Bombyx mori: one gene and its partners. The protein of the gene in region 4 purifies or fractionates together with the protein of the main gene of each other region. This does not show direct contact. Links are inferred from orthologs where the notes say so. Each region holds a gene or a part of one and is shown on either strand. Other genes may lie near its edges.

The links.
Region 1: the proteins of DNA ligase 3 (region 4) and poly [ADP-ribose] polymerase purify together in Homo sapiens (affinity purification with mass spectrometry; 3 studies listed by BioGRID and IntAct, with this or other methods). This does not show direct contact. The link is inferred for Bombyx mori from reciprocal best matches to the Homo sapiens genes LIG3 and PARP1.
Region 2: the proteins of DNA ligase 3 (region 4) and uncharacterized protein F21D5.5 purify together in Homo sapiens (co-immunoprecipitation; 5 studies listed by BioGRID and IntAct, with this or other methods). This does not show direct contact. The link is inferred for Bombyx mori from reciprocal best matches to the Homo sapiens genes LIG3 and PNKP.
Region 3: the proteins of DNA ligase 3 (region 4) and probable tyrosyl-DNA phosphodiesterase purify together in Homo sapiens (affinity purification with mass spectrometry; 4 studies listed by BioGRID and IntAct, with this or other methods). This does not show direct contact. The link is inferred for Bombyx mori from reciprocal best matches to the Homo sapiens genes LIG3 and TDP1.

The regions. Positions count from the first base shown.
Region 1 is NC_085128.1:12,941,053-12,948,984, reverse strand, and holds the start of poly [ADP-ribose] polymerase, read right to left. Parts: upstream 4,749-7,932; 5' UTR 4,571-4,748; coding exon 4,460-4,570; intron 905-4,459; coding exon 763-904; intron 449-762; coding exon 273-448; intron 1-272. UniProt on the Homo sapiens protein: Poly-ADP-ribosyltransferase that mediates poly-ADP-ribosylation of proteins and plays a key role in DNA repair.
Region 2 is NC_085114.1:7,138,368-7,146,234, forward strand, and holds the start of uncharacterized protein F21D5.5, read right to left. Parts: upstream 4,334-7,867; 5' UTR 4,056-4,333; coding exon 3,923-4,055; intron 3,660-3,922; coding exon 2,956-3,659; intron 2,740-2,955; coding exon 2,470-2,739; intron 1,363-2,469; coding exon 1,213-1,362; intron 1-1,212. Other genes in the region: acetyl-coenzyme A transporter 1, read left to right, coding at 5,871-6,080, 6,160-6,449, 6,562-6,913, 7,112-7,231, 7,781-7,867. UniProt on the Homo sapiens protein: Plays a key role in the repair of DNA damage, functioning as part of both the non-homologous end-joining (NHEJ) and base excision repair (BER) pathways.
Region 3 is NC_085130.1:17,778,109-17,786,104, forward strand, and holds the start of probable tyrosyl-DNA phosphodiesterase, read left to right. Parts: upstream 1-3,549; 5' UTR 3,550-3,673; coding exon 3,674-3,710; intron 3,711-3,804; coding exon 3,805-3,900; intron 3,901-4,532; coding exon 4,533-4,677; intron 4,678-5,743; coding exon 5,744-5,940; intron 5,941-7,996. Other genes in the region: conserved oligomeric Golgi complex subunit 7, read left to right, coding at 145-228, 1,565-1,658, 2,097-2,206. UniProt on the Homo sapiens protein: DNA repair enzyme that can remove a variety of covalent adducts from DNA through hydrolysis of a 3'-phosphodiester bond, giving rise to DNA with a free 3' phosphate.
Region 4 is NC_085112.1:10,798,391-10,806,441, forward strand, and holds the start of DNA ligase 3, read right to left. Parts: upstream 4,799-8,051; 5' UTR 4,465-4,798; coding exon 2,875-4,464; intron 2,432-2,874; coding exon 2,278-2,431; intron 1,798-2,277; coding exon 1,534-1,797; intron 575-1,533; coding exon 1-574. Other genes in the region: suppressor of lurcher protein 1, read left to right, coding at 5,052-5,238, 6,466-6,656, 6,964-7,171, 7,252-7,499, 7,577-7,641. UniProt on the Homo sapiens protein: Isoform 3 functions as a heterodimer with DNA-repair protein XRCC1 in the nucleus and can correct defective DNA strand-break repair and sister chromatid exchange following treatment with ionizing radiation and alkylating agents.

The DNA of each region.
Region 1 (7,932 bases), on a different chromosome or scaffold from region 4:
ACATTTGCAAGTTAGACATCGACAAATGTAAGAGAGATGTTTTTTGAGAGCAAAGTTAAATTTATTTTTACATCAACCTCTCCTGTTACATCAACCTGTATGTCTCACCACATTATAGTACGCGAATCGGCGGGATGATAACCGGGTTATATAAGTGTATGTAATCTCTAAGTTTAGGACGGTGATTTTGAAGAGACTTACATAGCATCCAACTAAAATTATTTTATTTTTACTGATGTTAAATTAAATCTTTTAGCTGAAAACCAACTTACCTTACAAATTTTAATTTCACATTCAGGACACGTGGCCCTACTGCTTTTTGAATATTCAACTTTGAAGTCCTTCAGCGCAGAGTTATCTGATTCTGGGGCGGCTCTCTTGTTACGTTTACCTTTGCCTTTGGTTTTGGTTTCTTGAATGGGCATTACAACAGCACCAGCACTGTTTTCTGCTCAATTGAAAGTAATTGGAACTAGTAGTGTTAATACAGGCAGGAGCTGATTAATTCTGTTGCATGTGTAGTGTTAACTATTATAGAAAAAAAAACTCAGCAAAAATTTTAATTGCACTACTGACATTTATAAAACGGGTTTCCATTTTAATTTATATATTTACACAAGTAGTAAACAACAAAATTTATTGGTTATCTATCAAATAAAAAATCATGCATGGTGAAAGATGTTCACTTTGTCAGTTTTCTGAAACATGTTTTTAGCACATATTTTGAACACTTAATGACTGTACATTTTAAATTTTACTAACCTATAGTAGTTTTTATTCTTTTCTGGTCTTCATTTTTAAGTACATTGAAGTTTGCAATTTCAGTGAAACTGTTTAAACGTCGCTTTTTAAAAAAACAATCTTCATGATGCCAGTTTGGTTGTTTTCCATCAAAGAAAGCTGACTGCGGAGTTTTAGAAATATTATGTGGTTATATACAAATCTTTGGTTGTGGTTATAATTAAAAAATCTACATAAACTAAAGAATGAAGTCGTTGTGCCTAAAGGATAAGACGTCCGGTGCATTCGTGTTGAAGCAATGCACCGGTGTTTGAATCCCAGGCGGGTACATTTTTTTCTAATGAAATACGTAGTCAGCAAATGTTCACGATTGACTTCCACGATGAAAAAATAACATCGTGTAATAAAAAACAAACCCGTAAAATTATAATTTGCGTAATTACTGGTGGTAGGACCACTTGTGTTTCTGCGCGGGTAGGTACTACCACCCCGTCTATTTCTGCCGTGAAGCAGTAATGCGTTTCGGTTTGAAGGGTGAGGCAGCCGTTGTAGAACTTATATCTCAAGGTGGGTGGCGCATTTACGTTGTAGATGTCTATGGGCTCCAGTAACCACTTAACACCCCATGGGCTGTGAGCTCCAGCTGTGAAACCCAAACCCTGTCTTCAACCTAGGAAACAAATGGATGACTTATTGATGTAGTTTTACTATTAAAATGGAAAATAGCCGTAATTAGTTAGTAGTTTTATTTAGGTTTTTTTGCTGCAAAGTTAATAGTTATAGGTACAGACACTTATGGCAGAATTCGTTGTTTCATTAAAAATGGTACATGGGAACCTGAAATATTTTAAGAGACTAGCAAATATAGGCTTAGACTTCACAAAATATCCATGCCACTTCATCCTTCCTTTTTGCATTTATGAGCGAATATGATGAATGTAGTTCATACACATAACAGTACTAATACATCTCACCACCACCATTGGAACATGAGGTAAATTGGGAACCTCTGGGTCTGCGGAGGGACTTCGGTTCCCTCTGTATTTTGTACCGTATGTTCCATGGGGAGTGCTCTGAGGAATTGTTCGAGATGATACCGGCATCTCGTTTTTACCATCGCACCGCCCGCCACCGGAGTAGAGTTCATCCATACTACCTGGAGCCACTGCGGTCATCCACAGTTCGTTTCCAGAGATCTTTTTTGCCATGTACCATCCGGCTATGGAATGAGCTCCCCTCCACGGTGTTTCCCGAGCGCTATGACATGTCCTTCTTGAAACGAGGCTTGTGGAGAGTATTAAGCGGTAGGCAGCGGCTTGGCTCTGCCCCTGGCATTGCTAAAGTCCATGGGCGACGGTAACCACTCACCATCAGGCGGGCCGTATGCTCGCCTGCCTACAAGGGCAATAAAAAAAATCTTTCAGAGTTGAGTCATATAAATAAATAAATATATATATGTATTTACTAACGATCACGCCACGTTAACTGGTCACTTTTTTTTTTTTTTTTTTCTGACCGAGGGCCGAACCTCCTACGAGGTCCCCGCGCCTAGGGGGCGCGCGGGGTATGTGAGACTCAACGATCTGCAGGTGTTGAGAGCAGACCGCGGGCCCAAGGAATTTAGGGCCCACCCACTAAACGACTCCCCTGCACTCTTACACCCGGCGTCCGATCTCCGTCCGGGGTCAAAGCCCGGTCAGAGTAGGGGGGTTTCCGCGGTCAACACTACAACCAGACACGCGGCGCCACCCCGAGGACGCCCGACCGACGGGTCGTCGAGGCGATAGTCGACGACCAACGACGTCAGTCTCCGCGGTACGGCGGCCCTACTAGGCCGCCCGGGCAATGCCACTGGTGTTCCGGGATACCCCGCTGGGCCAGAACCAGCCTGCCGGGTCGGAACGCGATACACCGCCGACCGGGTTGCTCTTCCACAGTATGTTCGGCGACGACAGCGACGACGAAAATGCGGACCGCGCCGCCGACGCGTCGTCCCGTACTCCTGGTGCCAGCGCGCTAGAGTGACGGTAGCGTGCGGCGCAGTCTCAACCCCCTTAGGTCGCCCCGTGACCATCACCGGGAGGAGACTGCCTCCTCATAGGGGCCGGAGCTGGACAAACGCCCTCCTCCGACCCCCGGCTCGACGGCGGCGGCACGGCGCCGAAGAGTTCTCCCTCTCCCGTTCCGCCACCTCCTTCTGCGAGATGGTGGACTCTCAGAAGTCGAGCATCGCCTGCCAGGACTCATCGCTGCCGAGCATCGCAGCCACGACGGTCGGAAGCGACAAGTCCGGTCCTATTTTTGCAACGAGGACACGGCGCTGCTCCGCGAAAGCGGGGCAGTACGCGAGCGTGTGCTCCGCCGTGTCTTCGTTGCAGCCACTGCAATGGTGGCACTTCGGCGTCGGCTCCCTCCGGGCAACGAGGTGCAGGTAGCGACCGAAACAGCCGTGTCCCGTGAGCACCTGCGTCGCTCGGAAGGTGAGACGTCCTCGGTACGTTAACTGGTCCCGTGCTAAGTTTGTAAAGACCTTGTGTTACAGGTATCAGATAACGGAAATAAAAATAAGATTTTTATTATACACTTATGTAGTGTGCAGCTCACCTAACCTTATATTTGTAACTGCACACACTAAATTATAACAGTATTACACTAATTGTCGACTTGAACAATTCTCTTTTATTTTGCCTACATCACTCCAATACACTTACATATATATAATATACATTCATAACCCTGGAAAAGACATTTTATATTTATCATACAAATATCTTCCCTTGGTGGAATTCGAACCCGCGACCCTCTTGTGTAGTGACCATGTCACTTACCACTACACCAGATGCCCATTGTATATATATATTTAGGATTCAGAAGAAAAACCATTTAAAAAAATAACAATTAGCACACGTTTACAGAGACTTAAAACAATGACTCACTCACACCATGTCCACGACTACCTTCTCTCACGAACGCCGCCGATCGAATTAATGTTTCGAGCAAAGGCGTTGCTATTTATAGGCACTGTACCCTCAACATTATTATAAAATTCGTGTTTCCTAAATTAACACTTAAAGTCTTTGACCGATGTTCTCTCGACTAATGTCAACCGACAAATGCGCGGGTGACAGAGCTGCACGCCGGTTTTATACCTTTTTAGTAGGGTATTCCTTACTATATATATTTAATTTTAATTGCAAGCAGAATCTCTGGAACTTTCTGAGAAGTTTAATTTTCTTATTCTTAGCATTGTAGGCAGTGTTGAGTAAGTCATTTGGAGGGCAAAGGCTAGTTGGAGTTTAAAGTGTTGGGAGTCTCCAACAGAGCAGTGCAGTACTTCACGTCTGAAGAAAAAATTATAGGTACTTTACAAAGCACAAGTTTGGCCTCAAATGGACTGTTGCTCCAATCTCTGGGCTTTAAAAGATTTGCAAAGGGTACTCAACGCTAAACAGCAACTTGGCTAGGTCCTAACATTTATTGTCGTCCATGAGCAACGGTAATTAATCATCATCAGATGAGTAATTACCGATAAAAGCAACAAGAAAATACAACGGCTGTTTCACTTTCAAACTGGTTCTCAATGTCAGTAAACTAGTAGGTAACTTAGTCTGTGCTCAAGACTACATCGCGGCGGAAATAGGCAGGATGGCGTGCTTACCTTTATCGGCTTAGTTAAGAAAATATATACATAGTTCTAAATTTTACACATTATACAAACCTGTACCATCACAGCAATGCGCAGTGAGCCTTGATCAATTTTTTGTTTACAACCCTTACAGGCTGCTCTACCTGTCTTTGCGTATTCAACTTGATATGGCAAGTCTGCCATTTTTTTGCAATTCTGTTATGTATTACTTCTAATGTTCTTTTTATGAAAGTAGATATTAGGTTTTATTTTTGCTACATACAGTGTACAACGATAAAACAAACAAATTCACATAAAATGACGTTATTTTCGGCTTTTGCAACCACAGATTTGTTTTCATAGATATTTTTTAAAGGATTTTATGACCTGGTAACTAAGGCTTTTAGGTCAAGTCTTATTTTAATTTTAATGAAAACTTTTTTTGAGTGAAAAATGATAATATGAAATGAAATGAAATCAGATGATATGATATGGGATGAAATATAATCTCAGTAAAATGGTGGTTATTTGCTGTGATTTTTTCAGTGGACTTTTTGGAGGATCCCGAGAAGTTACGTCCAGCGGCTTTGTTTCATTTTCCCACATTTGTGCACTTTCACAGATATTAAACAATCAATAGACCACCGTTATTACATATTTAAACCTGAAGAAACACTAAATAGACAAAATAAAACAAATCACACAACTTCACTCCTCGCGTTCCCGCCAAAAAGTCAACCTGTAATTACCTAATTTTTTTTAAGGGATTCTATGAACCGGTAACTATGACCTTTAAGTCATGTCTTATTTTAATATAGTAACTATACTGAGACCTTAGAACTTATATCTCAAGGTGAGTGGCGTATTTACGTTGTGGATGTTTATGGGCTCCAGTAACCACTTAACACCAGGTGGGCTGTGAGCTCGTCCACCCATCTAAGCAATAAATAAATAAATAAATATATATTTCTTAATTTTATGAAAAATGATAACATGAAGTGAAATGATATGAAAATGATTAATTTGAGACATTAATCAACTGGGATGAAATAAAATGAAATGAGACGAGATGATATGGGATGACTTATAATCTCAGTAAAATGGTAGTCATTTACTGAGACTTTTTCAGTCGACTTTTTAGAAGATCCCGAGAAGTTAGGTTCAGCGGCTTTGTTTCATTTTCCCACAATTGTGCACTTTCACAGATATTAAGCAGTTAACAAACCACCGCTATTACACATTTAATAATAATAATAATTTATTTATTTCTCTCTTAAAGGTACAAGGTACATACAAATTCAAATGGAAATAAATTAACCTTATAATTTATTTTGTAAGCCTTTGAAAGAGCTGAAGTCTGTACTAGGTTCAAAGACCTGTATTACTGATCTCCAGGCTCCCTCCTTCTTAAGATAGATTAGGTTAGGTTAAGTCGTGAACAGATGCTGCGGACTAGTGTTGAGAGATCATTAGGTGTTATATTTTAAGAAGGTCATTTTACGTGTGTGTGCGTGTGTGAATGTGTGTGTATTTGGATGTGTGTGAGTGTGTGTATATGTGGGCGTGTGCGCGCATGCATGTTGTATTGTGTATGTGTGAGTATCTGCATCTATGCGTGTTTATTATTACTATTACATAGGTATAAATAATTTTTTGCTTAATTGGGCTCGAAAACAAAAAGCAGATTACTTCACAGTCTGGAGTAAGTTCTCTGTTTGCTCGTAGTCTAGGTCGTGAAGCCAATTTGTTAGTGCATGTTTGCATTGGGTCTGTGTCATGCTGATCATATTGATCAGCTTATTGATTTTATTTTATATGAAGCTACTTAGGAAGCCATAGAAGCGTTGAGCTAACGATGTAGAAACAAGTGTCGTGGGACGCACACCATGCCCGCGCCGCTGACTTACGAGCAATGTCGGATCGTATGGAGTTTTCGAGTGTGTAGTCATAATAAGATTAAGAATAAATAATTTACGGACAGAAAGGACTTTACAGGTTTTGTAAAGATCATTTGTAGGAAACCTATAAGGGAGCCGCCATCCAGCTTTTAAAATACATCTCTGGGCACGTTCAAGTTTTTAAAAGTGTGTTTTGGAAGACCCGCCCCATGCCACTATGCAGTACTGAGTGACTGATTGACAGAGCGCTAAATAAACGAGTGTAAGTACGTTCCTGTCGGTAACATGACGCAGATTTTTAAAAATGTAAGTGAGTTTGCGTAATCTGGACGACAGAACGTCAATATGGGAATGAAAGGATAATAGGTCATCGATCTGTATACCCAGATACCTAATGCAATTTGTCCTGGCAAGGGAGGGGCAACCGCAGGCAGTTTGTCCAAGAGCGTTACAGGAGTGGGCTATAAGTGAAAAAGGCGAAGATGATATTTTACCACGCGTAGACAGGGAAAAAGTGACGTACTTAGTTTTATCCACGTTCAGTGTCAGTAGATTTTTAGACAGCCAGTCAGTTACGGTGTTCAGGCCACATTGAGCAAAACTAAAAGCTGCCTCCCAAGAACTGCCATGAAATACGAGAGCAGTATCGTCAGCATAGGTGTAAATAGACCCGTTTGTGATATTTAGTTGACATAGGTCATTTATATATATTAAAAATAGGGTAGGGCCGAGAATAGTGCCCTGTGGCACTCCATATGCTATAGGGAGTTCGTCACTGATAAGGTCACTGATTTTGACACATTGACGTCTGCCCGTAAGGTAGCTCCTGAAAAGTGAAAGCTGACTGCCTCTTAACCCAACGGCTTCAAGCTTAGTTATGAGAGTTGGGATAGAAATCGTGTCGAAGGCTTTAGCTAAGTCCAAGAATATAACAATTACTTTGTTCTTTTTATATAGTTTTGTGACAATTTCATTAGTTAAGTTTAAAACTGCATCGCTAGTCGATATACCAGAGCGGAAACCATATTGAGAGGGGGAGAGAAGGTTGTATTTGTCTAAGAATTTTATAAGTCTATGGTTCATAATTTTTTCCAGAATTTTTGAGAGGGTTGGCACTGTTGGCAGAATAGAAATAGGTCTGTAATTGTTCGGCAGACGTCGGTCCCCCGTACCCTTATCGATCGGATGAACTACTGCAAGCTTAAAGACGTTGGGAAAGACTCCAGTAGAAATAGCCAGATTACATAAAAACGTAACTGGAGCTAGAAGGATGTGTTTAAATTTTTTTTGAATTATCCCAGAGATATTATCCGATCCAGAGGCACAGTCTGTTCTGAGGCTATTTATTAGGGTTTCTATCTCGGATTGGTCAGTTTCCAGCATAGCAAAAGTTCTTAAATGAGAAAACAATTTAGGTACTTTTGAGTGTGTTTTTTTTGCATGAATATTTAGAGCTAGTGAACTACCGACATTGGCAAAGTAATGGTTGACCGTATTAATAGAGTTTGCGGGTCCTGCGTGTGTGAGAAGGTCGTTCGCATGGGTATTTTGTTTTTTGGTATGTGTTATAGTTTTAATTGTTTCCCAAAGCTTCTTATTATTGTTTTGAGCATTTTTTATTTGGGCCCTATCATAATTGCTCTTAGCGCTTTTTAAAAGAGATGTACA
Region 2 (7,867 bases), on a different chromosome or scaffold from region 4:
TTTCTTATTATAAAGAGGTTATATACTATACTGCCAGGGAGACTTTTTGGCGGGAACGCGAGAAGCGAAGTTATGTTAATTGTTTTATTTTGTTAATTTGGTGTGTTTATTCAGGCTTAAACGTATGTTGCTTTATTCACGGTTTAACATCTGTGAAAGTGTATAAATGTGGAAATTTGAAACAGTCGTAAAATCTGGCTTCTCGAGTTCTTCCAAAATGTTCACCAAAATCTCTGTAAATAACCACCATTTTACAGACTTTATTTCATTTCATCTCATACCGTTTCATATAATTTCATCCCAATTGATTACAATCTCAAATAAGTAAATTTGACCTCATTTCATCCAAATAATTTTTTACTACATTATTTTTTATATAACAGAATATATAAAATAATAAGCTATAATATATGGTGCGATACCTTCGTATTTCCTGTTGGAAAATAGAATTACTACTAGACTACCAATACGTCATCTGGAAATGATTTCCTAGCTTTTTTTAATACCATTACACATATTAATTAATGACAGGTGTACGGCTGACTAAAACATATTAAAAAAACACCCAATTAAGACAAAGCTAAAGATATTCCAAAATCTATAAAAATCCATAAAGCTCTTTATGGATACAGGGTGCGTGCTAAATAACAAAACATATTATAAAGAACTTTAATCATATCACACATATACTTTCGAAAAAAAAACTACCCTCATTTAAGAATATACTAAATTCTTAATTAAGAAACCTTGATAATAATGAACATAAAATATTAAAATGACTATATCATAATTATGAAATTTAATGTAGTCAATACGAATCACAACCTATTACCCGTTCAATTAGATTAAAATGTTATCTGATTGTGTCCATAAGACTTTCAATTAAAATTTCAATCAATATTGTAATATTACAATGCTATTTGTTAATTGCATTATTACTGATAATGATAAAGTGGACAGCTGGTGATAATGAACATAAAGACTGCCTGAAAATATGGTTCATTAAATTTCTCTTAAAGCCCATAGATATCAATCAAGTTAATGTCGCCTAATACCCATCTTGAGATACGAGTCGTAAATATAGCACTCCTCGCTCTTCAAATCGAAGCGCATTACTGCTTCACCGCAGAATTACGCTGGGCGAGCTCATAAAATACCCTACTACCAGTAAGTAAGCTTATTATATTTATTTGCCTTCGAACTTTGACTTACCTGCAACAATTTTGTGGCTTCAGCAGCACATTTTTGCCATGAGCCTAGAATATCTCTGCACACAGTCGCATATTTGTGATTTGATTTAGTTTCAATCTGCTTTGCCAAATAAGATTTTCCACTACCAGGAAATCCAACTAAAATTAGTATCTATAACGAAAGTTTTTTTATAACGACGTTATAACGAAATTTATTTTTATCGTTCTTTTGTTGTTGTCAACCTCACTGGCCATCAGGTGTTAAGTATTGAATGGCGCTATCTGCCGTAGGACGTGAGGTATAAGTCTCAATTGTGTTGGGTAATGGGTCTCCCCACTCTTCAAACCGGATCGCATTACTGTTATATGGCAGAAATAGACAGTATAATATACTCATGCGTGGTGGCTCACAAAATGCTCTATAAATAATAAATGTCGAAATACAGATCGCACTGTACTGGTATAATAGGTCCGAGAATGCTGCTACCCATTACTCGGTGACTAATCACCTTTTCAGAAAAATAGGAGGACAGGGGTTGTGCTGTGGGTCTGAAATAAAATTTGGGAAATAAACGTGGGCCAATCACGGCTGTACAGTCTACAAGCAAAGAACACAAGAACGCTAATTCCAAATGCTCAACTGTAGGAATTGCTGTATTGCTGTCGCAGCAGGACTTCATCAGTTTCATAAGTGCTCTCACTGTGTAACGTTTATTAATTTAACGTAAATTTCATTTGCATGAGACACTATTAAATGATACTTGATTCGCAACTAAATATATATATCTGCTTAAATTAAGGTATGCATTTTCGGTTTCTGGAACACTTGCAAAACCAATATTTTGATTAACTTTGAAATATTTCATCAATTTAAAATCTGCAGTAAAACTCAACTTAAAACTCAACCTCAAGTAAAAATAAAGTTTCAAAATGTTGAAAGAGAGTGAACCATTATTGTTGGAACTTCTAGCCAAAACTGCTAATAATGTGATTCCAACTTGAACAAAAAACAACATTTATTTGCTTAGTTAAGCATAATTATATATATATTGACTACTTTAGATTTCTTTAACCAAAGCAGCTCAAACAAAGACATTAACCTAGCGTCTCACAGTAGGTGGCAGCATTCACAATAGGATGTCTGTGAGTTCCAATAACCCTTAATATCTTTTTAGAGCAATTAATAACACCAGTATTGTATATTATTTTAGAATGTCTTTTGTTTAAAATCCAATTAAAAAAACAATTTTAAAATATATTTGAATGAAGTTTGACTAACCTCTTTATCTTTGCTAATTAGTTTATTATTAAAAGGTTCTACAGTTACTTCTTTAGGATGAAACTCAGGTTTACTCATTAGCACATTAGCAATAGAATGTCCCAAGAAGAATTGTTCGGGAGTATAAAATTTTAATTCCAAATTTTCAGCAAAGAGTTTGTCTGCCAAGGAGTGATCTTTCTTTTTACCAGGGGCCCAGTTTGCCACCCTTCCTGCAGCATCTCCACAATAAAAACTTTGGTTCATATCAACTTTGACACCATCATTTTTCTGTAAAAGAAAATAAATTAACATAAAATTCATAATATGCCTAGTTCTTTTAGGTCAGTATACTATAGGTTTATGTAGTTACCAATTCTGTCAAAATGGCTAAGCCCAAATTAAGTGAAGGCTTAAAAATATTAGAGATTTGTATTTCTTATAGCAAGACAGCTTTAATGCTTTAATTTAATCATAAATATGAGATTAAACAGACTCAAACTATACCTTTTCAGTCAAAGTCATCCACATTCCAATTCTAGGTTTCCTGTAAATCCCTTTACCAGTTGCTATATATGCTTGTACTGGCACATTTAATTTTTGGACAATACTTTCAATCTTCTTTTTAAAGTCTTCTATTTTAACTCTACCATTACCAATAGGGGCTTGATTGCTAAATAACACAATTTTGTAATCTTTTTCTAAAAATTCTTTCAGTTTTTGGGGCACTGAAGGAAATGCTATTTGCCAGTCATTTATGTCCACCGGATGAACTTTACCAGACTTTGTCTTGATTAGGGTTCCATCCATATCAAAAGATGCTATTTTGTCACTAGATTTCACTCCCTTAGCTGTAAACACATACAATTCACCTTTGTCTATTTCATCCCACATATCTCTAATAACTTTTTCAACTTTTTCTTTTACACTTGATGACACTTGTTCCACTTTTAATGATTTCTTTCTCTGAGATGTACTGTCATCTTCCAATTTCCTTTTGAATGTCTGATTCTGTGAGGTAGTTAGGCTTTCAGGAGGTGGATCAAATTCAAGTATATGCACATGATTGTTTAATAAAATCTCAATTGTTGATCCATGTCCAATTTCATACACTTCATCTTTTTTAAGAGCAAAACCATCTAACCCAGAAGCGTTTACCCCTAGTTGTTTTATCTCTACATGACATTTTTCACAATCTGCTTTTAAGCTTACTGTAAATGAAGAATAACAAGCATTTAGAAGAAGTAGAACACAATTATGGTAGGTATCAACTTAAGATTTTGATTTATCAACGCGAAATTATGTAGGATAAATAAAAATTTAAAGTATGTAAATTAATCTAAGCAAATAATTTTAAAAAATATGCAATGATTTGACGTAAAAGAAAATTATTCAAGATATTGCAATAAAGCTTGTTCAGCAAAGTATGCATTGGCACAATAAATAGGGTTTCTCAATTGAAGTTATCACTTACGCTGCTGTCTAGAACATGACTGATCCTTAATTTTTGTTTCTTTATTGCGCCCTACAATTATTTGTACGTTGTGAGGAAGTTTAATAGGCGCATGTGTATCTAACAAACATCTCAAAAAGCATAAACGAGACATGATAATAGTACGTACAGCATGAATAATGCGTTTAACATAGTTTTTATGAATTTAACTTTTGTATGGCATATTTAACAAACATGGTTATTTTTTTTAATTGGTACTTAACACGGTTTAATATTATAATATATAACAAGATAGGTTCAAAGGCTCGCAGATTTATTTAAGTACATTTAGGTATAGATTTTTTGAAAAATTAGAAATTAAATTAGGTGTATTATCTATGACAAATGACATAAAGTGACAGGACTTGTTGGCGGGAACGCGAGGAGTGAAGTTGTGTGATTTGTTTTATTTTGTCTATTTAGTGTTTCTTCAGGTTTAATATGTAATAGAGGTGGTTTTTTTAACTGTTTAGTATCTGTGAAAGTGCACAAATATGAGAAAATGAAACAAAGCCGCTGAACGTAGCTTCTCGGGATCCTCCAAAAAGTCCACTGAAACAGTCTCAGTAAATGACCACCATTTTACTGAGATTATATTTCATCCCATATCATCTCATCTCATTTCATTTCATGCCATGTTTCATATTAATCAACTTCATTTCATTTCATAATATCATTTTTCATGTAAAAAAGTTTTTATTAAAATTAAAATAAGATTTGACCTAAAGGTCTTAGTTACCAGGTCACAAAATCCCTTAAAAAAAATTAAGTGACAGTAAGTGACTCTTGTTTATAGAGATGGGTCAGATTTACAAGAACAGACCCAAGTATTAGGTATTTTACGAGATTAGGCTGCACCTAATCCCATTTTGCCAATATGTATAATCTACCTTTTCCACCTAACCTTCGTATTCTTAAAATCCTAATAACGTACTGAGAACTTGAGATTAGGAACAGGCAGATTGAGATTGCTTGCTTAGTAAAGTATTGGTTGTGAATGATATTAGGAAGATTTTATGGATTAGGTATTTCTTAAAATTAGGAGCTTGTGGTAAATCAAATACTAGTATCTGATTCACCTAGTATAACTCATCTCTAGCTGCTTAGGATAAGACGACGGAGGCTCGCTGAATTTGGCCCCACGTTTTTTCATTTCCGGATTTTTTTATTTTTTATTATTTATTGCTTAGATGGATGGACGAGCTTACAGCCCACCTGGTCTTTAGTGGTTACTGGAGCCCATAGACATCTACAACGTAAATGCGCCACCCACCTTGAGGTATAAATTCTAAAGTCTCAGTTTAATTACAACGGCTGCCCCACCATTCAAGCCGAAACACATTACTGCTGCACGGCAGAAATAGGCGGGGTGGTGGTACCGTGTGGGCTCACAAGAGGTCGTACCACCAGATTAGATGATAATAATAAGGCTTAATAAAGTGGAAACAACTTCGGGTAGAATTTCTGTATTGGCTACGTTCTCTTTGCATGTTTAATGGACGAATCACACAAACAAAAAATTACAATGCCACAGATCACTAAGAGATGTCAGTTTCCAAAAAAGAAACATGGTCATAGATAATACACTAGTTAATACGCGAAACCTACCTGTAATACTATGTTTCATTCATCAAATCAATTTCAATTTTCATATTAGGTACGTATGTGCTACTATGTACGTGGTAATCGTGCAGATTATTAATATTAAATAAATAGTTATTTTTTTATTAAAACTGTACTAAAAATTTTAAATGGTGAATGAAATAATTGATTTAGTCAGTTTTTAAGAAAAAAAAATTATTTTCAGTGTGGTCTTGATTCAAAACAGCAAACATTAAGGTTTGGAATGAGTAAATTCTACTGACGTGTTTTTTCAACATTGGCACTTTAGAACATTTGTGATGTATTTTAGGCTATAAGAGCAGCAATTATGACTTTAACAAAGCGCAAAAATTCACCGGAAAATGAGGAATTGATTGAAAACGGAGACGCGCCGAACGAAGGAAGAAGTAACATTAAAGGGGATGAACTAAACATAGCTGTTTTGTTGTTCCTATACACATTACAGGGTATACCACTGGGATTAGCTGGAGCTGTCCCAATGCTTTTACAAAATAAAGGCATAACGTACACGCAACAAGTCAGTATTCTAAAGAATTTTTTTTTATAATAAAAAGGTAATATTTTGCATTTCAACTATATCCGTTTTAAAATTTCAGGCTGAATTTAGTTTAGTAAATTGGCCCTTTAGTGTAAAACTATTATGGGCTCCTATAGTGGATGCAATGTTTTGGCCTGAATTTGGAAGAAGAAAAACTTGGCTTGTACCCGTCCAGTACTTGATTGGAATAGTAATGATTATAGTATCATATTGTGTCACAGATTGGCTGGGAATTGATGGGGAACCACCTTCAATGACAATACTTACAGTATCTTTTCTGTTATTAAATTTTTTAGCGGCCACACAAGATATTGCTGTTGATGGCTGGGCTTTGACTATGTTGAAAAGGTATGACAATCGCTTAATTATAAATATTATAAAAAGATGAAATTGACAGATTTGGAATTTGAATGTAAGATTTGATTAAGAATTGTAATTCTTTTTATGAATTAATTTTCAGGTGTAATGTTGGACATGCCTCGACATGTAATACAGTAGGCCAAACAGCTGGGTTTTTTTTGGGATATGTAATGTTTCTGGCTCTCGAGTCTCCATATTTCTGCAACAAATATTTACGAACAGAACCACAGGAGACTGGACTAGTGACTCTGTCAAGTTTTCTACTATTTTGGGGTTGGATTTTCATTATAACGACTACATTCATAGCTATATTTAAACATGAAGCTAATGATACCAGTGCAAGTGGTCAGGTGAAGGGAGGAAATGATATTGTTAGTGCTTACAAACAGTTGTATACAATTGTGAAATTACCAGCAGTGCGTAAATTAGCTTTGGTTCTGTTCACTGCTAAGGTGAGAAATATTTTAATTAATTAAATGAAATCCAAAGTGATTTAAGACACTATCCATTTAATTCATGTAAAATATGTAATATAACTTAATTGTTTTATAAGAAACATTTTATTATTGAATAACTTCAAATGGATAGATTCACTAAATCAATAGATATGATTTTACTTATTTGTGTATTTTAGCATATTCTTGTTTCAGCTTGGTTTTTGTGCGGCAGATGCAGTATCAGGCTTGAAGCTTGTTGAAGCCGGTGTCCCACGTGAAGATTTAGCTTTACTGGCTGTACCTTTGGTACCAGTACAGATCATAATGCCAGTTGTAAGTAGTCTCAAGTTCTTTGAATGAATATCGTTACTTTTTAGTTTTTGTCTTCTCAATAAATGATCAATTGCTGGTGGTAGGACCTCTTGTGAGTCTGCACGGGTAGGTACCACCATCCGCCTATTTCTGCCGTGAAACAGAAATGCGTTTCAGTTTGAAGGGTGGGGCAGCCGTTGTAATTATACTAAGACCTTAGAACTTATATGTAAAGGTGGGTGGCGCATTTACGTTGTAGATGTCTATGGGCTCCAGTAACCACTTAACACCAGGGGGGCTGTGAGCTCGTCCACCATCTATGCAATAAATAAAAAATTGCCATATGATATAATAAGTATTTTATGTAATGTAATAATTTATTGAAACCATTTTTCATTTCGGAGGATTTCCTGACACATAATTTTTTATTTATTTAATACATTGATTAATAAATGAATTATCTAATATCCCTGATTTAACTAAATTTGATTTTTAACCAAAATATGTAAATGATCTTCAATATACTATAAATTTTGATTGTTTTGCAGTAAAAGTTTTGTAAAATTACAGATTTTGGCTAAACACACAACAGGACCAGCCCCACTGTCTCTTTGGTTAAAGGCTTTCCCATTGAGGCTACTGGTTGGTCCTCTAGCG
Region 3 (7,996 bases), on a different chromosome or scaffold from region 4:
CGAATTTCGACTACTGCGGGACCTCTAGTACAAACAAATAGGCATCCCAGAATCGAACGGCAATGCAAGAAGATTTATATAATTTTTTTTCTAAACTTTGGTCTTGTTAAATTCAGTAAAATTACCAGTAAATTGTTATTTCAGATCGGACAGTACCTGATGACTTTGCCGCAACATCTCGAATTGCATTTGTCCGAGAAACAAGCGCCCTGGCAGTTCTTGACCGATGTAAGTACCTATCGCATATTGAGGAGAGAAATACTAGCTACATTTTTATAACTTTACATGAGAGTCATTTAAAGTATTTGAAATTTAGATAAAATATGAATAAAAACCTACGGCTATTTAAATGGAGTAAACTTAATTAAAGTTCAATTAAAAACATCAAACTGTCGATGCTAATAACAAATAAAACGGACCTTTAATTACAAAGATTAAATGTCGCTTAAACCAAACAGCCGTTCACCCCTCGATATGCTTTCACAAGTTCTGAATATTGATTACGGTCATTTAGGAATCTTCAGACCACGTTTCGAAGGCCTGTCTTAAAGCTCAGAATATGTTGGAGGGTAGTTCATTTTAGAGCTAATACGTGACAACAATGATCTCTGTAGACGAACCCAAATTTTCGAAGGAAAAGTGGTTAATGTACCAAGCTAAATAGAAATGGTTGTTGTTTGATATTTTGTCTATATTAATGTGTATTCTGTGATGTCCCGAGGTCATTGGCATCACGCGTTGTCAAATTTATTTTTTCATACATTACGCGGGATATATAACTTTTGAAGTGAAAACTTCTTTAGAATCGTTGTGATTTCAAACCGGATGCAACGGAAAAAACGACAGGTAAGAGACACAAATACAAAAATGTGTAGGATGAAGCCAGCAAAGAATGAGACAGAAATATACATACTATTTAATACAGCGCCATCTGTGAGATTTTTTAATACTAACGTGTGTATGAAAGCTCTTGTAGTGAATTTTTATTTAGGATTATACGCGAAATTATAATACCAATTCACAGAGGGCGCTACCTTACAATTATTTACTAATGACAAAATTTTACATATACTTAAGACGTTTAGGATAATTGTATTTTAATTTTGGAAGGTTTCACTTCTACCACGTGTGAATTGCACACATTTTGTTTTTTTTTACTGCTTTTTATTTCTTAGATTGGTGGACTAGCTCACGGTCTACCTGGTGTTAAGTGTTTACTGGAACCTATAGACATTTACAACGCAAATGCGCCACCCACCTTGAGACAAGTTCTAAGGTCTCAGTATAGTTACAACGGCTGCCCCACCCTTCAAACCGAAACTCATTACTGCTTCATGGCAGAAATAGGCAGGGTGGTGGTACCTACCCGTGCGGACTCACAAGAGGTCCTACCACCAGTGTGTTATAGTGTTAGCAAGCTCTCCCAAGTTGAGCCCGTGAGCTCATCTACCCTGGGCGTATCTGGAATAGCCTTATTATAGTCTACCAGCGAATAGGTAGGGGAAAAAAGTACCAGGATAACATGAATTGGGTAGAGTTAAATTTGTTTATTTCTTTTCTCTAGGTGTGCAACCACACGTGCGAAACGTATGCAGATAAGATTATGAATATAAAAAATATGGATGCGTTAGGAACGAAGAGATGTCTCACTGATATTGGTGAGCAAATTTTTTTTTTAAGCAATTAGGTTTATTTGTATTTTTGTATGTAACGGTGATTTTGGACAACTTTTTTAAACTTCCTTTTGTTTGTATTGCTTAGATGGGTGGATGAGCTCACGGCCCATCTGGTGTTAAGTGGTTACCGGAACCCATAGATATCAATCAACCACGTAAATGCCGTCACCCGCCTTATATGAGTTGTAAGATCTAAGAATTTGAGTTTTGGTATTTTCGTTGATGTCCATGGACGATGCTGTCAACTTGAGTTTTGGTATTGTTGATGTCCATGGGCGATTTGCACTGCAGCTGTGAATCATAAAAAATAGAATTTAAAGGAAAAAAACCAGTAAAACTTTCCCGTTTTCGACAACGCTAGTACCAGGCTGTCATAGTACAAAGGAGTTCTAAAATTAAAAACTGTTTTTTTTTCTAAAGTATACCTGTCCAGCGTAGTTGAAGATCTAGGGTCTTCCGTGACACCAGCGTTGAAGAACTTGGAGAATTCGTTGCGAGCTGCCACGCCGGCTCTACACAGTCAAAATTAGCGTAAATAAATGTTATTGAAATATAAAGGCTTTATTAAAATTATTGTTTGAATACTGTAACTTTCATTATCATTATGCCTCTATCAATACTACAATTGTAATAAAATTTTATTGATATAATGATAGATGCTCTGTACAACTGTACATGGGTTTTTTCCTACCTAAGCTGATGGTCTAGACTCTAGAGAGACCATATCAGCGTAACCTTAACTAGTAGGTGAGCTCACGGTTCTCAAACCTGACGATGTTGCTAACACTGGCCCTAGCAAGAGCAGTGCTTCCCGGAATCTGCCACCGGATCGGAAATGCAACCCACTACGAAGATCCGGCGAGAAACTCACTGGGCTGTGTCTGTGGGTTAATTTACTCGACGGGCTCGACGAGATCGATGGCCAGTGCTTGGGGTACCTAAAAGCACCGTTAGTGGATCGGGAGGATCCGAAATGACGTGACTACACGAGTGTGGATGCCTACCTACTTGTGCCCAAACTTGATGACAGCTGTCACAAGATGTTTTGGATTAAAGGTCTGGTTAACACGGCATAAAAGATGCTGTCCCAAATATCTTAAAAAATGAGACTGGCAGGAATCCGACAAGTAAAGTTGTGTGAATTGTTTTATTTTGTCACTTTAGTGTTTCTTCAGGCTTAAACATCTGGTGGTAGGTATTCCACCGGTCGATATATTTGTGAAGCACCATTTTCAAAGATGAACTTCATTAAGAATAAATTTCTTTTTCGACTGACTGAAGAATATCTCCAGGATTTAATGTTAATAGCTTTCACTAAATCTACTTCAAACTTGAAACAAATGACTTGAGAAACTTGAGACTTTTTTACTGGTGGTAGGAGCTCTTGTGAGTCCGCGCTGATAGGTACCACCACTCTGTCTATTTCTGCCGTGAAGCAGTAATGCGTTTCGGTTTGAAGTGTGGGGCACTCGTAACTATACTGAGACCTTAGAACTTATATATCAAGGTGGGTGGCGATTTACGTTGTAGATGTCTATGGGCTCCAGTAACCACTTAACACCGGGTGGGCTGTGAGCTAGTCCGCCCATCGAAGCAATAAAAAAAAATTAAAAAACTCAAAACGGGGGTTTGTTAACTGTTAAGTGTCTGTGAAAGTGTACAGTTGTCAGCATCCTCCAAAAAGTTTCAGTAAAAACTACATATTCTTTTGACTGAGACTATATTTCATCCCATATCATCTTGTTTCATTTAATTTCATATTAATTGAAGTCTCAAATTAATCAACTTCATTTCATTTTTCATAAAACATAAAATTCAAAACGTTAGGCTGTATAATATGAGTCCTTGGTCTTTTTGTTTGGAAAATAGAACTACTGGAAAAATGACACAACAAGACAGTTCACTATATAGTGTTTTGAAATATTTCCAAAGATTCAACAACTTTCTAACTTTATTTTATGATAGCTAGGTAGACTTTTTAAGTGATTTATTTAAGTATGAACCCTTCCCTAAAGCGACGAGGAACTATGCAAGGTACCTGTAACAATTCAAGTGTATCTGAGTTAACGAACAAAATAATAAATTTTATACAACGTTAAACAAAATAAAAATTGTCATGCTATTTCAGAAAATGAGACAAAAAGAGTAAAAAAGGTTTGTGATTATGGCGAAAAATGCTACAGAATGAATCCTGTACATTTCCGTGAATTTAGTCATCCGCATTGTAAGTAAAAAGTTTAAAAATTTTCTTGGATGTATGTGAAAAATGTAGTTTTTATTTTTGAATAGAACTCAGAAAAATCTTGCCTTAGTAAAAATTTGCAGTATTTTTAACTTTTATCAGAGTTTGAAGTCTTAACTGGAAAAGCAATTAGCCAAATCTGTTAAAAAGTTTCCGTGTTTCAATAACTCTTTGGTTAAACAACAGAAAAACAAATTAACAAGACAAAATAATAATCTTCGGTTCTCCTTTTTTTATTGTCTTTGTAGATAGCTGAGCATACTGCCCACTTGATGGTAAGTGGTCACCGTTGATCATAGATCATTGCCAGGGGCACAGCCAAGTCGCTGCCTACCTCTCCCAATGATACAAAATAATTGTAACTACTTGTAAATAGATAAACTGTAACTTTTGTAAATTGTAACTACGAAAAATTAAAGACAAACTTAAATCTAAATTGTAACTTAAAGGTTAAGGTTGACATTAATTTTTCGTTTACAATTTCCAACATTTCATTTACAGTTTTCACCACTGTAGATTACCACATTAAACCATAAAACCTGTTAGAAACAAAACATAAAAATTCAACTGATTTACAATGCACTCAACTGATATAATTGCATTATTTTCCACAGTGGAATCTATATTGGATAACCATGCCAGTGGTGGAGATTACCCTATCCCAGATAAATACAATCTCCAGAAGAAATTGATCACTGAACAGCTAGATCTTATAATCGAAAAGGGATTCTATGCTCCTCGGAACAATGTACAAAACAAGTAAATTGAAAAATATTCTCCACATTTATGATTTTATTTATATTACTAAAGTTTTTCATGCCTAGTGTAAAACTAAGTCTTCATTTAAATTTTAATAGTCTGAGGACTAGACTAGATAATTACACCATTGCTTTAGTTATTTGAGGCATGCTTTAGATGTGTTTTTGTTTTAAAGTTCTGAAGTGGTGGTCACATAATGGAATACGTAATGTGGGTTAGGCTCTCACAAGACGGATTGATGACCTGTTGAAGGTTGCGAATAGGGTTTGTTTGATGCAGCCTCATTTCTTGGTCTCAACTTAGTCAAACTTAGTTCACTGAATATGTACCCTCTAACTTAATACATATAAATATTAAGAAATATAAAAAAAATTACTTGAATTATTAAGTATTCACTGTATTATATATTATGACGGCGCGACTGGTGCCAATAAAGAGGTCAGCTCAGTTTTGTGCAATAATAGTAACTCGTACTCATAGTAGAACAGTGGATGTAGCTATTTCCCGAATTCTCCTGAATACCCTATTAAACAATTGTTTATAAGCATTGGAGTTATAACTGTTAACTTTTACACATCTTAGTTAAATAAATAGCAGTACTGTAAAGACAAGTTATTGTATAATCGTCATTTCGCGAAATCGGCACGATACGAGAACCGTCACATCGTGGCCGCCGGTAACTACATTCCCGATCCTGCGGACTGAATGGTAAACAGTCGACGTCGCCCAAAACGCCTCATTACGGATCCTCCCGATCCACTAACGGTGCTTTTAGGTACCTCAAGCACCGGGTAATCGTTCTCGTCGAACCCGTCGTTTGCGACGAAGGGCTCAGCGAGTAAACTAACCCACAGACACAGCCCACTGAGTTTCTCGCCGGATCTGTTCAATGGGTCGCGTTTCCGAACCGGTGGTAGATTCTGTGAAGCACTGCTAGGGTTCGTATTAGCAACGTCGTCCGGTTTGAGCCCCGCGAGCTCACCTACTCTCCTGGTTACGCTGAAATGGTCTCCCAAGACCATCAGTAACCCTTAGGTAGGTTTTAAAAAAAGTTTAATCATTATAGCCCAAAACAAATTGAAAACAAACAAGAAAGAGACAGCGACAGACGAGTAGGGAAAAATGTGGAACCGGAGGCAAGTTCTGCTAGTCATCAAAAAGTACCGGACAAACCTGAAAATACAAAAACAATGTTTTCAAATAATGAAGCCAAAATTAAGACACCTGTTGATAGAGGGGGAGTTGTTAAAGAGAAATCCACTAGTGAGTTTTATTTAATCAGATAATTTTTTGAAGATACTTTAACCGTAGTTATAAAAGCTGTTGAATTTATTTATTTTTCAATTTTTTTTGCTTAGATAGTTGGACGAGCTCACAGCCCACCTGTTAAGTGATTACTGGAGCCCATAGACATCTACAACGTAAATGTGCCACCCACCTTGAGATATAAGTTCTAAAGTCACAGTATGGTTACAACGTTTGCCCCACCCTTCAAACCGAAACGCATTACTGCTTCACGGCAGAAATAGGCAGGGGGTGTTACCTATCAGTGCGGACTCACAAGAGGTCCTACCACCAGTAATTACGCAAATTATAATTTTGCGGGTTTGATTTTTACTACACGATGTTATTCCTTCACCGCGGAAGTCAATCGTGAACATTTGCTAAGTACGTATAGAAAAATAGGTTCTCTTTTAAATTCTCTTTAAATTGTTCTATCACTCTGAATTCTAAAAAGGTGTGTACAGTGTAAACCTACACTATATAAATTGGCCTCAAGAAGTACGAGGGCGGCACTGAAAATTTCGGGAACTAACGAAGTGACACAACATTACTATTTAAAAATGTATTTATTGCTTTTCGAAGTATTCTCCGCGAAATTTGACACATTTTTCCATACGATGGAACCAATCATTGAAGCAACCATTCCATTCGGAAGTTGGGGTCTCCAAAATGGCCGTTTTGTAGGCGTCCACAGCTTCTTCAGGTGATGAAAATCTCTGTCCACGCAATTTATTCTTTATCTGTTTTCTATTCTGTTTTCTTGCTCTAAAAACTCTTTTGTTCTGTGCGCGGTGTGAGAACTCGCATTGTCGTGATGGAGGATGATGCGGCGGTTGCAGTTCTCTTTACGGAGTTCAGAAACGACCTGTGGCAAACAAATGCTAGCATACCATTCTGCATTAACCGTTCTTTGTCCCTCAAGAGGAATAGTCGTAACATGGCCGGTTTTGGAGACAAACGTGGCCACCATTTTTTTTGCAACACTCCGTGAACAAACAATTTTTGTTGGCTTTAACTCATTTTCGAACACCCAAACTCGTGACTGGTTTTTTGTTTCGGGTTCGTACGCGTATATCCAGGATTCGTCACCTGATACAATGTTGTATACAGCATTTGAGGATCCTGCGTGGAATCTTTCGAGAGTTCTGACGCACCAAGTAACGCGAGCCGGTTTTTGCTCTTCACAGAGCGAATGCGGTATCCATGGGGAAAACAACTTTTTTACACCTAATTTTTCATGCAAGATTATTTGTATTTGACTCACGCCAATGTCTAAAGTTGCCTGAATTTCGCGGTATGTCACATGTCGATCTTCCTCAATCAGCTTACGCACAGCATCAACGTTTTCTTGGGTGACTGCAGTTTTTGGATGACCTTGACGGGGATCATCACTGAGCTTGACACGTCCACGTTGAAACTCAGCAAACCAGCGATAAATTGTGGTTTTGGATGGGGCTTCATCACCAAATGCAGAAATCATCCGGTCAACACACTGTTTTTGTGTTAAACCACTTCGAAATTCATAATAAATCATCGCTCTTGAATTTTCTCGAGTCAATTTCATTTTCTCAACGACTAAACAAGTTTGACAAAACCTCGTGACAAGACCGAGAATCTTTTTTTAAATAAATAAATGGTATTCGATTTTTAAAACCAAGGAGTTTTCAATTAAAAAGATTTTAATATGACAGGAACAGGGGAAATATTCCATTCCCGATACTTTTAGTGCAGCCTAGTAAATCTTTAGGTTTTTTTCAATATGGCAATTTTTTTGTTATGCTGTTATTGTTGCCAGTTTCTATCTATTACGTGAATAATTGAGCTAATGAAATGAAGTTGAATCATTTGAAACTGTAATAAATTGAGATGAAATTAAGTGAAATGAAACTAGACGAGATGGAAGTCCTAGTGATATGGGGGGAATTTACTAGTGTTGTTTGATAAATACACTGAATTATCGCTCTTCCCCCAAAATTCTCCCTTCTATAAATAGTAGTAGTTTTATTTTTCCAATTGGAAAGGCAAAGGTATCATA
Region 4 (8,051 bases):
TGAGAACTGTCTAAATCTCTTTTCTTTCTTTTCATTTCTCTTTTGACATCCGTTTCAGTCTCCTCCGACTTCTTTGTTTCTTCGGTGTTCTTTTTCTTATTCTTATTCGTTTCCTCATAAGATTCAGAGAGGGTTCCTTCCGAAATATTTAAATGTCTTTTCCTTCTTTTGATTTCCCTTTTAGAATCAGTCTCATCGTAACTCAAATCCGAATTAGAACCATTCAGTTTATTTTTGTTCGACGCTTTTGTTTCTAACTTTACTAGGGGACTATCTGGAGATTTCTTTGAAGGACTCTGTTTTGGTTCTTTCTTTAAGAAATTGTCCAATTTATTTTGTTTCTTCGGACTAGCCTTCGTTTTTTTGTTCGTTGTTTCAATACCAGAAGCTGAAGCAGCCAATTTGTTTAATAATGAGACGTCACTGGTTTCTTTCGAAGTTTTGTATAAATGTTTCAGTTCATCCAAGTTCGTGGCGGACTGCCAGTCTTTGTCTGTTCGAATCCTTGTGACTCTTGGGAACCTCACTGATATCCCATCGGCTGTGTGTTGGTTTGCTTTTGTTAACTCGGTACCTGAAACCACACAACTTATGATTACAAAGCAAAAAAAAATTTTTTTGGCAGTTCAGTTTTAAGGACCCTAATATTTTCTTATAATAAAATCTTAACCACATACTAAAACTCCATAAAGGTCAGCATACAATTAGTACTTGAAATATAATATTGAAATTTAAATAATCACATTGTCAGTGGCTGAAACTTAAGTAAGGTGACCAACTATTTTATGTTCAAAAAGAGTAACACTTTGCAAGCATTTCATCGGTGAAAAAAAAAAGAAGAAAAAAACAATAAAAACTTTATTTATTTTTAAAAACCTATTTTTAAATCAAATTCAAATCACTGTCAAAATAAAATTTTAAGTATTTAATTAATAAAATTGAAATAAAAAAAATAAAAAATAATAATTTAGAAATACAAATGAGAGGTATAAAATTATACAAATGAGTACTTTTAGAGTACAGGATTTGAAAAGAGAACGGTTTGCGAAAAAAGAGTACAAAACTCAGTAAATTAGTATAGTTTGGTCACCTTATTAAGGCCAGCTTCGTGCACGGACATGTAATGCTCTATTTACAGTTTCTATTAATAACTCCTATCTATAAAGCGTTAACGGCATTCATGGATACTCACGGTTAGATAAGGCTGTTATTATATCGAAGGGTGAAAGCCTATTTGTTTTAAACGACATTTTCGCAACTTTACAGAAAGTATTTAATGCTTAATATTTGGTAAAAATATCATAACAAAAAAACTATTAAACTTCTTCAGCTATTAGAATGAGGTAAACTAATTTGAAGCTGAATTAAAATCATCGAATTGTTGATACTAATATCAAATAAAACGGACCCTTAATTACAGAGATAAATGTAGCTTAAACTAAATAAGCTTTCACCCCTCAATATGTATTTTGTTTATGGCAAAAGGCCCCAACTAATCAATAGTTACCATAAACAAAAAACAAATACACTAACCTGTAATTTCCCAAACTGGTTGCTTCTTAGGATCTAAAGCGACGAAATCCGGCACCATACCCTTTTTACAGTCTAACCATGACGGGACTTTATTACTGTCTTGAGAAATCTTCAACATTAAAGGTCCTAACTCCTTTTGAAGTCTCTCGAGCGTGCTATCATCATGTCCCGTATGCACTTTGGTTACAGTTACCCACTTATTTTTGTACTTATCCAAACAGCCCATCAAGAATACTGACATCATTCCGCCTTTCTTACCTGTACCTGAAAAATTCAATAACAATATATAATAATATATAAAAATTCAATGGGGTCTTATATAATTTTACAAGAAATAAAAAAATACAGCCCGAAAAATACATGTTTCCTGAATATCTCAAATATACCTAATGGATATATCAAAATATTTTATCTTTTAAAATACATCCATATTTTTTTTATTTCTTAGATGGGTAAACGAGCTTACAGCCCACCTGGTGATAAGTGGTCACCGGAGCCCATAGAAGCCCAGCTTGAGACAGAAGTTCTAAGTCTTATTTTTCAGTAAAGCACCTGAAACCGAAACGAAATGCCACTACACGGCAGATTTGGCTAAAGAAAGTAACATTCAAAAATTATGTTTATTATTCACACAAAAATGAGTTAGCAGTGTTGTTTGACTAAATTTAGATGTTAGTTAGATGCTATCTTATAAAAATTGATAGTTAATGGCAAGAGGTTAATTATGAAAAACTGTATGTTTACCAAACCAAGCTCCAAGTACAACAAGATCTGCAGTGTCAGCCATTGCTCCATCAAAGAGATAATCTTTCTTCACTTTCAACCAATGACGTTTTCCCGGCTCATATATAGATTCACGGTCTTTTAGTACCAGTCCTTCCAGACCCAGTTGTAGAACCTGGAATAATTAAAAGACAGTTTCTGGCAAATGATGTCTTGACATAACGTTTCTTTTTTACTACAGAAATTATATATGTTATTGTGTTTTGAAAAGATATCTGGAAGAATATTAATAAAAGTAAATTGTATGAAATGTGAATTATTATTGTGCAAAATTAAAATACAAAAAGGAATTTTCTAGATATACGAGTGAATTAGCTCATTGCTCACCTGGTGCTAAATGGCCAACACAGCCTACACACCTCGAGACATGACTTTCAAGTCTTAAGTTTTTACAGTACAATGGTTGCCCCACCCTTCATATCAAAATACTGCTTCACGACAGAAATAGGCAAAGTGGTGAGACCTAACCAAGGCTCACCAGACTCTTGTGTCAGTAAAAATTGTGTTTTAAACAATTTGCAATGGATTTTTATTTTAGAGGATTTTTATTTTATTTACCTCAGCAATCATCTTAGCTAAATCTGATGGCTTCTCAATAAACTGTAATTCAGATAACATGACATGATTTTTTACTTCAATCATATTTTCCTCAAGAAACTTCTTTCTTTTCCAAATTGGCTCATTCATCAATACTTCTCCATTATAATAGAGACAATCAAATATAAACAAACATACTTCCGCATCTTTAAATTCAGATTGTTTGTGTACGCCCAATGTACCAAATGGTAAGGGCTTCCCAGTACACACATCCACCATCAAAACTTCAGCATCTAATATCATATCTTCTCCTTTAGGAAAAGCTTTAGGCAAATGTTCCTTAAATAAGCTTACTTTATGTGCCATCACAGGTTTTAATGCTCTAGAAAAGTATTTAAATTCTGTACCTTTTTTATGTATCTGAACTCTCTCCCCATCATATTTAATTTCAGAGTACATACCGTTTGGACATTTTTTCATCGCCATTTCAATTGATTTGCATGCTTCAGCTAACATAGGCAAAACTGGAGTCATTAATGTCAGTTTTGCTGAAACAGCTTTGTGGCTCACACCCTTGTCATTTGAACTATTATTCTTTGACAAAACCCGATCAAGAACCATATTAAGGTCTCTTGACGTCTGAAAAACATTATATGAATCGGGATGCACTCCTTCCAAGATATGCTTTGGTCCAGCATTAATTCTTAGATCTCCTTTTATTAACCGTATCAACATTTTCATATCATCTAATGTACATTTTTTCACAATTTTTTTGAAGTGGTAAATTTGTTCTTCTTCTTTTGTTAATGTAGATAAGTTTTCTAGGAAATCTTCTATGTTGTGGATCGTAAGTGAACTAAAGGAAGCAGGTTGCACTACCTTTGATGTTGAGAAAAATCTCTGTATCGTATTTGCCACATCTCCCTGTTCTAGATCCGTTAACATATCATCGTGATCAATATTGAATATTTTTGAGAAGAGCTTAACTAATTGTTTGCTCTTTAAATTATAAACTCTTTTGGTTACTTGAGGTAATAGTAATTTACACCACAAACCAAGATCTCCTTTAAAATTATCTTTCTCTATTCCTTTCGTAAAAAAAGAATTAACAGCAGCAGTCTTTTCAGTATATGCATCGACTTTTGCAATTCTTTTACATAATTCAATAAAAGTACTAAATTTATTATCTTCTACAATGTTACCACTATCAGTAGTGTCTGGCTCACTTTTAACACTATTTTTCTTTATGGAGCCTAAAGATTTGTTTTCAATTAGTTTCGCTGTGTATTTCCCACTGTGTTTTTCTGCGTACAATTTTTCAGTTTCGTTTAATTTTTTTAGTATCAATTCTTGATCTTCCTTACTAATATTGTCCCAGTTACCAATGTCGTTGATGGATTCAACTCGTTTAGTATTAGGGCGTTGCTTTAACAATACGTCAGTAAAACAATGAACATGATACCAAGATTTCATGGATTGATTATCGCCATACGGGCTCGGTACAAGTTTGGCCATACGTAGTTCACCACTAGGACAGTTGCCTTTACATAATTTACATGCTGCCCTACCACCTTTGGCTCGATCTACGTAAAACGGTGTTGAATCGGACATTGCGATTATGAATGCCAATGAGGCAATGACACACTTAAAAATATATGTTGAATACTCAAAACATCTGATACGAGACCTGTTGTGACAGGTTTTGAAGCATTTTTTTCAAGAAGCACTGTTTAATATTAAATAACTTTTATTCTCTATCTCCTTATATTTAACCACTTTACATAACTTGCGCGAAGTACGGATTTTTTTATAAAAATAACATAAATTACGGCCTGAAGTGTGCAATAACAACTTTAATTTTAAAAACAGTTTTCCTCGTGTTTTCTAGTTTTCAATACACACACATCAAAATTCAAAACATAATATAAAGACAACTGACATTGTCACATTATTGACATTTGACGTTATAGTCAGCACAGCCACGCATGCGCGTCTCGTGGAACATTCGGATACAGATTCTTGGCAATCTTTAATTTTGCAACATTAGACTATTAATACGTAAACTCTAGTATTCACGAATAATTGTTATGAGATATTTGTCTTTGATGATATACACTTGACTATGATCATATAGGAAAAACTATAGTTATTTTTTATCAATTTTGTAATTATAATAATAATATTTGTTTATGTTTCAGCATCATCCTGCCACCAAGAATTCAACAGTGATACGACGAAGCATGGAACACTGACTTCTCCTCATTATCCCACTCCATATCCACCGAACACACATTGTCATTACGAATTCTTCGGGAGAGGAAAAGAAAGAATAAGATTAATTTTCCTGGACTTTTTTCTATATAAAACAGCTGATGGCACTTTGGAGTAAGTAAAAGTTATATTTTCAAAATATTACTCAACTTTTGACGAAGTTTGTTTTAATATTCAATAAGCTAAAGATTATTAGTAAAATGCTATCAACAAAATAAATCTTCACATTTCTGGAAATCTATGAAAATAATCGTAATATTAAATAAATAACTATTAATTTGACTGTCCTTTGTCTAATGGGTATGCCGCTCTGTAAGTATATGTCGTGTAATATACAAGTATACAAGTCCGGCCTCGCGTGGAGTACTGCTCCCATCTCTGGGCCGGGGCTCCCAATACCAGCTTCTTCCATTTGACTCCATACAGAGGAGGGCCGTTCGGATTGTCGATAATCCCATTCTCTCGGATCGTTTGGAGCCTCTGGGTCTGCGGAGGGACTTCGGTTCCCTCTGTATTTTGTACCGTATGTTCCATGGGGAGTGCTCTGAGGAATTGTTCGAGATGATACCAGCATCTCGTTTTTACCATCGCACCGCCCGCCACCGGAGTAGAGTTCATCCATACTACCTGGAGCCACTGCGGTCATCCACAGTGCGTTTCCAGAGATCTTTTTTGCCACGTACCATCCGGCTATGCAATGAGCTCCCCTCCACGGTGTTTCCCGAGCGCTATGACATGTCCTTCTTCAAACGAGGCTTATGGAGAGTATTAAGCGGTAGGCAGCGGCTTGGCTCTGCCCCTGGCATTGCTGAAGTCCATGGGCGACGGTAACCACTCACCATCAGGTGGGCCGTATGCCCGTCTGCCTACAAAGGCATTAAAAAAAAAAAAAATTTTTTTTATTGCCGCTTAGATTTGTGGACGGTACATTTATTTTTAATAAGGTAACTTTATAAATAAATTAGTACACCTCTTCTTCACACTAACTGTCAATAGTGCCCGGGGTTCCGGTTACTACTTAACAACAAGTGAACGGTGAACTGATTTATATCTCTGTATCGAAAATAAGATGATATACGTGGATTACATTAATTTTCCAATTGTGAACGTTGGGTTCTTTTTTTTTTTAATAAACGGTAACCCAAAGCATTAAAGGTGCGACATAATTCGACTCCATTGGACTCTATCGATACAGTGGACTGTTCACCTTGAGTATCTATACCAACAACATTAAAACAATTACAATACCTAGAATATTTAACAGCATAATAAAATAATTTATGGGGAAGTTACAAATAACATTTATTATTTTTTACATAATATTATTTTTTCACATTTCAGCTGTACGAATACGGACTCGCTACAAGCGTTCATTAATGTGGACGGAAGATTGGAAAAAGTACAGACGTTTTGCGGAATCGATCTCCCAAAGCCTATCATGTCTAACGGTCCAAAACTGATGTTAGAGTTTCGGGGCACGCAATCGTCTAGATACGTTAGAGGATTTAAAATTGCTTATTCTTTTGTTGAAAGTGAGTATTGATAATTGTAATGTAGGTACCTATTTGATTAGGTATCAAGATAAATTCGTCAATAGTTGCCACTGATTAGCAGCCCACTTAAACGCAATTGATTACCCTACAATTAACAACATCATAGTGCCATCAATTAATTTGTGAATGTTTGTGAATTCACAATAAGTTTTGTACGCATTAGAACTCTCTCAAGAGTTAGAAAAACAATTTTAAGTATTGTATATCGAACATGACCTAAAATGTTCAATTTTATTATTCGGCAGCGATTGCAATAGTATATATTATAAAATCTTCTACATTACAGATTTTGGAATTTCATCTGGGAGGCAACTCAAAGAGTTTCCCTGCGCCTTCGTATATAACAGTACAGAAAATCGTAACGGTACCTTCGCATCCCCTAATTCACCAGGACCATATCCTCGTGATACAGAATGTACATATTTTTTCCACGGCGGTGAGACCGAGAAAGTGCATCTACATTTCACCAATTTCGATGTAGAAGGAGTTTTGCCGTAAGACGTTGTTTATTATTTGCTAATTTATTGTAATTAATTCTCAATAGTTTTTTCATTTAAAATCTTCATAATTTCAGCTGTGAAGCTGTATCGGCAAGTGATTACGTCGAATTTTCTAATTACATGACTGAAGACAATAGATACGGCAGATATTGTGGTCAAATGAAAGAATTCCATGTTGAATCCGAAAGGAATTTCTTCAAAGTAACTTTTCGTTCCAATGATAGATTGGATGGAGCTGGATTCAAAGCCATTTATCAGTTTCTAGAAGCAACTGATGAATATCAGGCACCTTCAGTTCAAGATAAAGCTTCATGTTCATTGTGTAAGTTCACATCTAACTATATATTCCAGTAAGTAATTTAATACATGTTTATCAAAATACTTATGTTTCTGTTTCAGATAAAATCTCCAACCTTCAGAATATTCTGGCGATTTCGCTGCTACAATATTTACTATATCATTAACAAATAAAAGTGATATTAGAATTATGAATTTAGCTTTTAATCCTGTATATTTGTAATATAGTACGTGCCATTCATGACAATTATGTAATACATAGTAGTATATTGATGTAGTATTTTCTATCAAATTGCGATTTTCGTTATCCTCTATTAAAAGCAACGCAATGATTAAATGTAACACAATAAAGGTTAATAAAATTATGGCACAGTACAAACAAATTTAATTTCATCAATTCGTGGTCTTTGGCGTTTTAAAAATTAATGGCAATTTAAAAATTGGTCCTATGAAATGTTGTAGCAATAGATGAATATTTTAAAAATTAATGTCAATCATCGATGGTATCAGGGCCGCAATGAAACCAGTGTTAGGAATATAATGCTATTTAATTATTTTGCATATTTTAACTACATAT